3 linked regions of the Macaca fascicularis genome follow. The protein of the gene in region 2 purifies or fractionates together with the protein of the main gene of each other region. This does not show direct contact. Links are inferred from orthologs where the notes say so. Each region holds a gene or a part of one and is shown on either strand. Other genes may lie near its edges. The genes, in order: RBMX, DDX5 and DHX9.

The links.
Region 1: the proteins of DDX5 (region 2) and RBMX fractionate together in Homo sapiens (co-fractionation; 3 studies listed by BioGRID and IntAct, with this or other methods). This does not show direct contact. The link is inferred for Macaca fascicularis from reciprocal best matches to the Homo sapiens genes DDX5 and RBMX.
Region 3: the proteins of DDX5 (region 2) and DHX9 fractionate together in Homo sapiens (co-fractionation; 3 studies listed by BioGRID and IntAct, with this or other methods). This does not show direct contact. The link is inferred for Macaca fascicularis from reciprocal best matches to the Homo sapiens genes DDX5 and DHX9.

What each region holds. Positions count from the first base shown.
Region 1 is NC_088395.1:143,026,716-143,029,413, reverse strand, and holds part of RBMX (RNA-binding motif protein, X chromosome), read left to right. Parts: intron 1-1,357; coding exon 1,358-1,510; intron 1,511-2,411; coding exon 2,412-2,526; intron 2,527-2,614; coding exon 2,615-2,698.
Region 2 is NC_088390.1:71,093,651-71,096,177, forward strand, and holds part of DDX5 (probable ATP-dependent RNA helicase DDX5), read right to left. Parts: coding exon 2,511-2,527; intron 2,400-2,510; coding exon 2,334-2,399; intron 2,098-2,333; coding exon 1,956-2,097; intron 1,875-1,955; coding exon 1,714-1,874; intron 1,628-1,713; coding exon 1,455-1,627; intron 1,100-1,454; coding exon 989-1,099; intron 777-988; coding exon 715-776; intron 627-714; coding exon 567-626; intron 1-566. UniProt on the Homo sapiens protein: Involved in the alternative regulation of pre-mRNA splicing; its RNA helicase activity is necessary for increasing tau exon 10 inclusion and occurs in a RBM4-dependent manner. Binds to the tau pre-mRNA in the stem-loop region downstream of exon 10.
Region 3 is NC_088375.1:40,389,882-40,393,540, reverse strand, and holds part of DHX9 (ATP-dependent RNA helicase A), read right to left. Parts: intron 2,413-3,659; coding exon 2,366-2,412; intron 881-2,365; coding exon 744-880; intron 434-743; coding exon 344-433; intron 258-343; coding exon 96-257; intron 1-95. UniProt on the Homo sapiens protein: Multifunctional ATP-dependent nucleic acid helicase that unwinds DNA and RNA in a 3' to 5' direction and that plays important roles in many processes, such as DNA replication, transcriptional activation, post-transcriptional RNA regulation, mRNA translation and RNA-mediated gene silencing.

The sequences.
Region 1 (2,698 bases), on a different chromosome or scaffold from region 2:
GTAGTTTACTCTGTAGGAAAGGCATTTAAAAATTGATAAGCCAAGGTGTTGGACATGAAAATGAAATCATTTTTCTTTTATTTATTTATTTATTTTTTTTGAGATGGAGTCTTGCTCTTTCACCTAGGCTGGAGTGCAGTGGCGGGATCTCAGCTTACTGCAAGCTCCACCTCCCGGGTTTACGCCATTCTCCTGCCTCAGCCTCCTGAGTAGCTGGGACCACAGGCGCCCGCCACCTTGCCCGGCCAGTTTTTTGTATTTTTTAGTAGAAACGGGGTTCCACCGTGTTAGTCTCGATCTCCTGACCTCGTGATCCACCCGCCTCAGCCTCAGCCTCCCAAAGTGCTGGGATTACAGGCTTGAGCCACTGCGCCCAGCCCATTTTTATTTTTTAAAGTTAGCTGGGCATGGTGGTGGGCGCTTATAATCCCAGCTACTCAGGAGGCTGAGGCAGAAGAATCACTTGAACTCGGGAGGCGGAGGTTGCAGTGAGCCGAGATCGTGTCACTGTACTCTCCAGCCTGGGGGAACAGAGTGAGACTCCTCAAAAAAAAAAAAAGTTTAAGACTACCTTCAGTTCTTACTTCCCCAGTCTATATAACTGCACTGCATGTTCCATCAAGTACAAGTGAAACTAGACTAGCCAAATTAATAATGGTCATTTTTGTTCGTTCGTTTGTTTTTGGGAGACAGAGTTTAGCTCTTGTTGCGCAGGCTGGAGTGCAGTGGCACGATCTTGGCTCACAGCAGCCTCTGCCTCCCAGGTTTAAGTGATTGTCCTGCCTCCGCCTCCCGAGTAGCTGGGATTACAGGCATGCACCACCACACCTGGATTTTTGTATTTTTAGTAGAGACAGGATTTCACCATGTTACGCTGGTCTTGAACTCCTGGTCTCAGGTGATCTGCCTGCCTCGGCTGCTCAAAGTGCTGGGATTACAGGCCTGAGCCATTGTGCCCGGCCTAATGGTCATATTCTTCATGAAGCAAAGGAAATTTTGTAGTGGCCGAGTTTGGTGGTTCACGCCTGCAATCCCAGCACTTTGGGAGGCCGAGGCAGGAGGATCACAAGGTCAAGTTCGAGACCAGCCTGGCCAGCATGGTGAAATCCTGTATCTGCTAAAAAAAAAAAAATACAAATTACTTGGGCATGGTGGCGCACACCTGTAATCCCAGCTACTCGGGAGGCTAAGGCAGGAGAATTGCTTGAACCCAGGAGGCGGAGGTTACAGTGAGCTGAGATCCCGCCACTGCACTCCAGCCTGGGCGAGAGAGCGAGACTCCGTATCAAAAAAAAACTCTCATATCTTTCTTGATTCTTGTGAGTAGTAATATTTTTCTTTTCTATTCTTGATGTAGATGACGGTGGATATTCCATGAATTTTAACATGAGTTCTTCCAGGGGACCACTCCCAGTAAAAAGAGGACCACCACCAAGAAGTGGGGGTCCTCCTCCCAAGAGATCTGCACCTTCAGGACCAGTTCGCAGTAGCAGTGGAATGGGAGGGAGAGGTAAATGTTCCATGTATGACAATCTGTGCTACTACTGTAACAAAGAATTGAGAGGTAAATGATGCTTAAAAGTTTAATTGGCTGGGCGTGGTGTCTCATGCCTGTAATCCTAGCATTTTGGGAGGCCAAGGCAAGAGATTAGGACTATCCTGGCCAACGTGGTGAAACCCTGTCTCTACTAAAAAAATACAAAAATTAGCTGGGCATAGGGTGGGTGCCTGTAATCCCCGCTACTTGGGAGGCTGAGGCGGGAGAATTGCTGGAACCTGGGAGGCGGAGGTTGCAGGGAACCGAGATGATGCCACTGCACTCCAGCCTGGCAACAGAGAGACTCCGTCTCAAAACACACACACGCACGCGCACGCACACACCCCCCTAGCTTTATTCGTGGAGTCTGGGCGCGGTGGCTCACACCTGTAATGTTGGCACTTTGGTAGGCTGAGGTGGGCGGATCACGAGGCCCGGAGTTTGACGCTAGTCTGGCCAACATGGTGAAACTCTGTTTCTACTAAAAATACAAAAATTAGCCGGGCACGGTGGCGGGTGCCTGTAATCCCAGGTACTCTGGAGACTGAGGCGGGAGAATCACTCGAACCCAGAAGGCGGAGGTTGCAGTGAGCCGAGATCACAGGACTGCACTCCAGCCTGGGTGACAGAGCGAGACTCCATCTCAAAAAAAAAAAAAAAAAAACTTTTGGTCATGTGTTGTAGGTGATTTAGATAAATGGAATTAGCACTGAAAAAAATTTAAAATGTGAATCGGAAATTCTAGAAAAAATGAGATCTAGCCTCCGTAATGTCATCTTTGAAGTCAGTCTCGTTTTCATAGCCTGAATGTAAGTTCACGTTTTAACTTCTTTCTCTGACTGTGTTTAAAAAAAGTGATGTAATTTTCCTTAAGCTCCTGTATCACGTGGAAGAGATAGTTACGGAGGTCCACCTCGAAGGGAGCCACTGCCCTCTCGTAGAGATGTTTATTTGTCCCCAAGAGATGATGGGTATTCTACTAAAGACAGGTAATAGAAAATTGCAGCTTTTTAAATTAATAATTAAGGTTGAAGGAAAGCTTATCAAAAGCATGAACCAAAACTTTTGTGTTTGTAGCTATTCAAGCAGAGATTACCCAAGTTCTCGTGATACTAGAGATTATGCACCACCACCACGAGATTATACTTACCGTGATTATGG
Region 2 (2,527 bases):
GCTCTAGATCTCATGTGCCAGTACTCACCAATTTGTAAAAGGCTTAGTACCTTTTAAAGCTGCTCTCTCCATTTCAAACTTGAACAAAAATTTCATTGAACATTGAAGTTTGGAAATATTTCTTCGACATTTCAGCAAACTCACTGAAACTCAAAGACCCACAGATCACAGTGAACAGTTTGAAACAAGGCTGTACCATGGCAGTCATGCAAAGCATGGGACAGAAGAAATACCACGGCAGTGAACTGTGAGGATAACTTCCATTTTTTCCCTCGGAGAGAACAGTTTACGGGGCAGAGGTGATATGTTCTGCCTTTTGAAGATTACTGGCACACGTTCAGCTTTTTCACCTCTCTAATCGACTGGAAGCAGCCAGCCGATCACTAGTCCTCCATCCCCCTCGAGTCCTCCGATTGTCATGCCTAGGCCTTGCCACAAAGACAGCACCTTTATGTGAAAAAAACTTAGAAAAAATGCAGAGGTTAAAGAAAGCAATAAACTTTCTTTAAAAAAGTTAAATGGAGATCTTCTGGGAAACCAAGCCATGAATGCGAGTTTGTACTAACCTAGCCCTCTGGAGGCCACATCTGTAGCAATCAGAATAGGAGCTTTTCCATGTTTGAATTCTACAAAGGAAGGCATATACATGATCAATTATCTGAGCAGAATTCTAGCTAAGTAAGGGGGGAAAAAAACTTCATTTGAAATATTTACCATTTAGAACCCAGTCACGCTCTTGTTGACTCTTGTCACCATGGATACCCATGGCAGGCCACCTAAAAGACAAGTTGTATCATAAAACTCACATTGAAAACCTCAGACTCCAGTGCTTAACCACGTCTTGTCACAGATCTCTTTAATTTCACCAGAAATTAAAAAGAATTAAATTCACTTATATTATCAGATATCCACTGCTCCTGATCCAAGTTTGCCCTTTCCTAAGCTCAGTTACAAAAAAATCTGCTTCAATGGAGGAGCCCACACATACCCATCTCTCCTCATTTTTCTGGTAAGCTCATCACATCTTCTTTTGGTTTCCACAAAAACAATGGTTTTATTCTCCTTCTCACTCATGATCTCTTCCATTAAACGAATAAGTCTAATAATGGGAGAGAGAAAGGAAAAATCCTGAGTTTTAAAAGACCATTGGTAGGGCCCCACATTTATGGTCAGCAAAACATTAAGTTCAATTTACATGGCTGGAAGTCAAAGAGGAAACACCTGCTAACCCACTTATGTAGTAGTTCGACCCTTGGTCCTTAAGTCAACCAGGGGACACATGAATTCCTTCTATAGGAAAACTATAAACGGTGATAATCATTATTTGAAGAATTCAAGATATTTTCAGAAGGATTAATAGGCTAACTAAACGAAATCACACCAACTGAAATAACAATGATCCCTCAATTTTAGCAAGGTTAGGAAGCGAATATAACAGAGTTAATAAAACTTACTTTTCATCCTTTTCTACGTCATGACACACATCCACAATCTGAAGAATGTTGTGGTTTGCACTCAGTTCAAGTGCACCAATGTTTATATGGATATAGTCTTTCAAGAAATCTTCAGCAAGCTGTCTTACTTCTTTTGGCCAAGTCGCACTCCACATTAGAGTTTGCCTATCAGGCTAATGGATTTTGGGGGGAAAAATTAGTGTCAGACTAAAAGTGAAAATAGAATTGAATTTGATCACATATTTCAAAGGACACTTACTCTTATTTGATCCACAATCTTCCTTATTTGGGGTTCAAAACCCATATCAAGCATTCTGTCTGCTTCATCAAGGACAAGATAGGTTGTTCTTCTCAGATTGGTTTTCCCACACTCTAAAAAGTCAATCAGTCTTCCAGGAGTTGCAATACAGATTTCCACACCTTTAATTAAACACGTAAGTGTAACTATAATACCTAAAATATTTAGCACCAATAACAAATAAAACTCTCTTCATTACAGACCTCTCTCCAAATCACGTATTTGTGGTCCCTTGGGAGCACCACCATAGATACAAGTAGACTTCAAGCGACATGCTCTACAATATTCAGCAGCTACTTGCTGCACCTGTTGGGCCAGTTCCCGAGTTGGTGCCAGCACCAAACACTAAGGAAAGAGAAACAGCTTTCAGCACAAACCTGGATACTAGTTTTAAACTATTAACTTATTAGTTATGATGGCAGATCCTTTCTTCATGTGTTGTCCAATACCCAAAGCAACTCCAGCTGAATAGGGTGAGCTAACCTCTGTATAAAACCACCACAAATAATTACATCTTTTGCTATGTAGTCTAAAAATCTATATATTACACTTCTAATAAAAAGTTAAAAATATATACTTACAATGGGCCCATCGCCTCTCTCTAGGAATGGCTGATGATTGATGTGGACAATGGCAGGAAGCAAATACTATTTGGGGTGAAGACGGGGACAAACAGAAATCACATTAAAATACTCTTGTTTTTAAATTAGCATTCCGTTTTCTTGCACATATTACATCAAGAGTTCTCTCAAACTTACAGACAATGTTTTCCCAG
Region 3 (3,659 bases), on a different chromosome or scaffold from region 2:
TTCAAAATAAATCCATTTTTTACCTAGACATACTAATGAAGTATAGTCAAGAGTAAAACACAAGAGTCTCATCTCAAAAACAATATTACACTCACAAAAGCCAGAGGCCCCTCATCAATGTTGCTACTAGTCCAAGGATTCCAGTTGGATTGTGGAGGTGACCAAGGAACCACACCCACTTGGTTTTGTCGCTGAGATGGTTCAAATTGAGCCAATTTGCCAATGTTGAGTGCAACTGGCACAGAAGGATCTTCAGGCTATTAAAAAATAAGAAAAAAAAAATATGACTTGCTTGTCTACTGAGTGTTTTACACAAATGTGAACTAAATAGCTTTATGCTTACCGGGGGCAAAATCTCAAGGTTTAGCTCTTGAATGATGTTTTGCAGTTGATGCTCTAAATCTTGAGAGAGGTTTACTTTGTAAGGCTCCACCTACGGAAAAAGGATCACACATAACAACACTACTCAAATCTACTACAATGGGGCTAAGACTATACAGTCAATACTAAGTCTACAATATTCCTAAACCAACAGTCAGTTCCCTTTAGTGCAAGAACTACTTCAATGGTTATTTACTCACTGCCTATTATGAACATTATGCCAGACACAGAGATGATTAGCAGGACCATTTTCATTCCCTGAGGTAAGATTCCTTGAAATTAAACTTCTTTAGCCAAATACTAAACAAGAGCTAAATTGAATCCTACACTATCTCACAAGTCTATTAAATCTAAAGACTCACTGTCTCTCCTTCCTTCTTCTTTGTAAGTCCAGAGTAAGCTTCAACCACTCCAAGATGGTAGAGTTGTCTGACAAGTGACAGGGCACAGGACTGTGCTGCCAGTTTCTTATTTGATCCATGTTCTCGTGCAAAAATCCCTGTAATGTAAGGTCAGGATTACCAGAAAGAAATCACCTAAGTGAAGAAACATCACAAGAAACTATGGGTTTACGTACACAAGAAGCTCTCAAATACAGTGTATGCCATGGGTTCTAGCTAAACAAAAGAAATTGCCCAACAGCTTAGCAACTAAATAACCAACTGTTTTGGTTACGGGCTGATACTAGGACTCATACAAATCAATATTATGAAAGCAAATAATCTATTTCAACAAAGTTGTCACTGTTAAGATCATCGGGCATTAAAAAAGGGGAAGAAAACATAGTTTGAAAAGACAAAGAGTAAAAAATAAACCAGTAAAAGTAATTGGGTCCAGAGTGGTTAACTAGACCAGGATTTGGGAAACTTTTTCCATAAAGGGTCAAATAATAAATATTTTAGGCTTTGCAGGCCATAGAGTCTCTTGTCACAACTACTCAACTCTGCCTTTAATGTGTGAAAGCACTTACTGACAATAGAGTTTGACAAACCACAGGCCTGGGAATGGCTTTACGGTTTTCAGGATTTGTAAAAATAAAACGAAAATAACAACGTGTGACCTGTGAAGTCTAAAATATGAGTGTAGCTATGTTACACAATAAAACAGTTCTTATAAAAACAGGCAGTAAGTTGGATTTGGCCAGAGGGATATAGTTTGCTGACTTCAGCATTAAACTAAAGCTAAGTTACTCATATCCTTAAAGAAAATATTAATAGAAAGTTTCCTCTCCTCCAGTATCATTCAGCTTTAGGAGAGATGAATATAAAGCAAAGGGGTACAAAGATATCTTTCTGCCTAACTAGCCAAATTAACCTTGATAAGTGAGCTGACATAAGTTAGCCCGCCTTTATCCTCTCTCCCTTAGTATTACCCATCCACTCAAAATAACTCATTTTATATATAAAAATGAAAAAATGTTTTAAGGCCAGGCGCAGTGGCTCACCCCTGTAATCCCAGCACTTTGGGAGGCTGAGGCGGGCGGATCACAAGGTCAGGAGATCGAGACCATCTGGCTAACATGACGAAACCCTGTCCCTACTAAAAAATACAAAATAATTAGCTGGGCGTGGTGACTGGCGCCTGTAGTACCAGCTACTGGGGAGGCTGAGGCAGGAGAATGGGGTGAACCCGGGAGGCGGAGCTTGCAGTGAACCGAGATCACGCCACTGCACTCTAGCCTGGGCGACAGAGCAAGACTCCATTTCAAAAAAAAAAAAAAGTTTAAAATTCTTTGACGCTGGCAGATTCCTAATCATCTCACTGTGTCTTACTTTTGAAATACTACACTAACACGGTCTGTTTTCACATGCAAACTGGGAGACTTTGCCTCTACTTTATAATTACTAATATTCTAATATATACCCTAGATGCTATCTTATATCACGTGCTCTTTCAATAATACAGCTTCTGTATTTCAAGACTTAAATGTGAAGATTCCTTCTCTATACAAAGACTTGGAATATTGGGTAACAGTAACACTTACTTCTGCCCAGCTGCTTGATATAAATGGTCATTTCTGCAATAAAGCTCCTGTAACAACATATACAAGCAAGGTTAGAAATTTCACTGTTAGAAACTGGCAAATCCAGGTCTCCCAAGTCAGGCAGGCTTTCCAACTGCTTAGGCAAATCACAGAAAAAAAAAAAAATTACCAACATTTATTTCTGCCCAACCCTAGAACAAATGAAGTATATAAACTTCATATAATATACAACATGGCATAACACAACTATAATCAAAGTTGATGAGCCAATTGTTCATGAAAGGAAAACGTTAGGGTATTAGATTTTATATTTACTTACTCTTATTCCAAAGGCTGGAGTCTCAAGAGCTACAACACATTCCATGAAAAGGAATTTTCCACTTAGCTTGGAGCCAAGAAATAAAGCAGGCCCCAAATGTTTTACATTACAGTTATAATTATTGTAAGATTCCTTTGCATAGGCCACTCAGTAATGACTGCGATCTATTAAGCTAATATACGCAAACACACATGCACATACACTTTGTGCATAATCAATGGCTCCTGAGGCAGAGTTCTCACATCTGCCTGCAGTTGGAAGCAGCCCTGGATGACAAAAAACTTAGCCTATTTTTATCACATTTATTTAAATCAGGTCCTGGAGAATAAAACACATGTTGTAACATTACATCTAAAACTGCTAGCAGAGTCTAAAAAATGAATTTAGGTTTTAGTAAGGGAAAAACTGCCCTTTGAAAACTATGCATTCTGGTCCCTTCACTGCTCAGATACATTCTAACCTAGACTTGGTGGTGTGAATAAAAGGCTGGGTGAGGCTTAAGAAAAAAATAAATGTTAAGACTCCTTCCTATACCTCGTGTGAACTGACCTTCAGGCACAGCGGCTTCAGGGGTCAAAGGCCACTGGCTTTCAGGGGAACAACATCCACCCTTTCATTAATGACATCGATGCCAGTATGTTTCTCAGCCAGGCTTAAAGTCAGCACTCAATCTCATTCTCCTCCACCTAGGGGGAACAGCGACACCAGAAATCAGTTTACAATAGTTTCCCATGTGATTGCTTAGTTCAGCCTAAGCAGCAGCACATGTGTGTATGAACACAGACCTCTGGTGTTGCTGTCTGTTATGCCTTTAAATAAAAGGACATACAAAGAGCAATGCTGTCCTGGCTCCCCCAATTTCTGTGCCTCCCACATTGTCTTTTCCTGAATTCGTCACTGCTTTGTATCAGAAATCTATGGTAAGATACTGATAACAAAAAATGTCTGCAACGATGAGCTTCAGGCACACTTAGG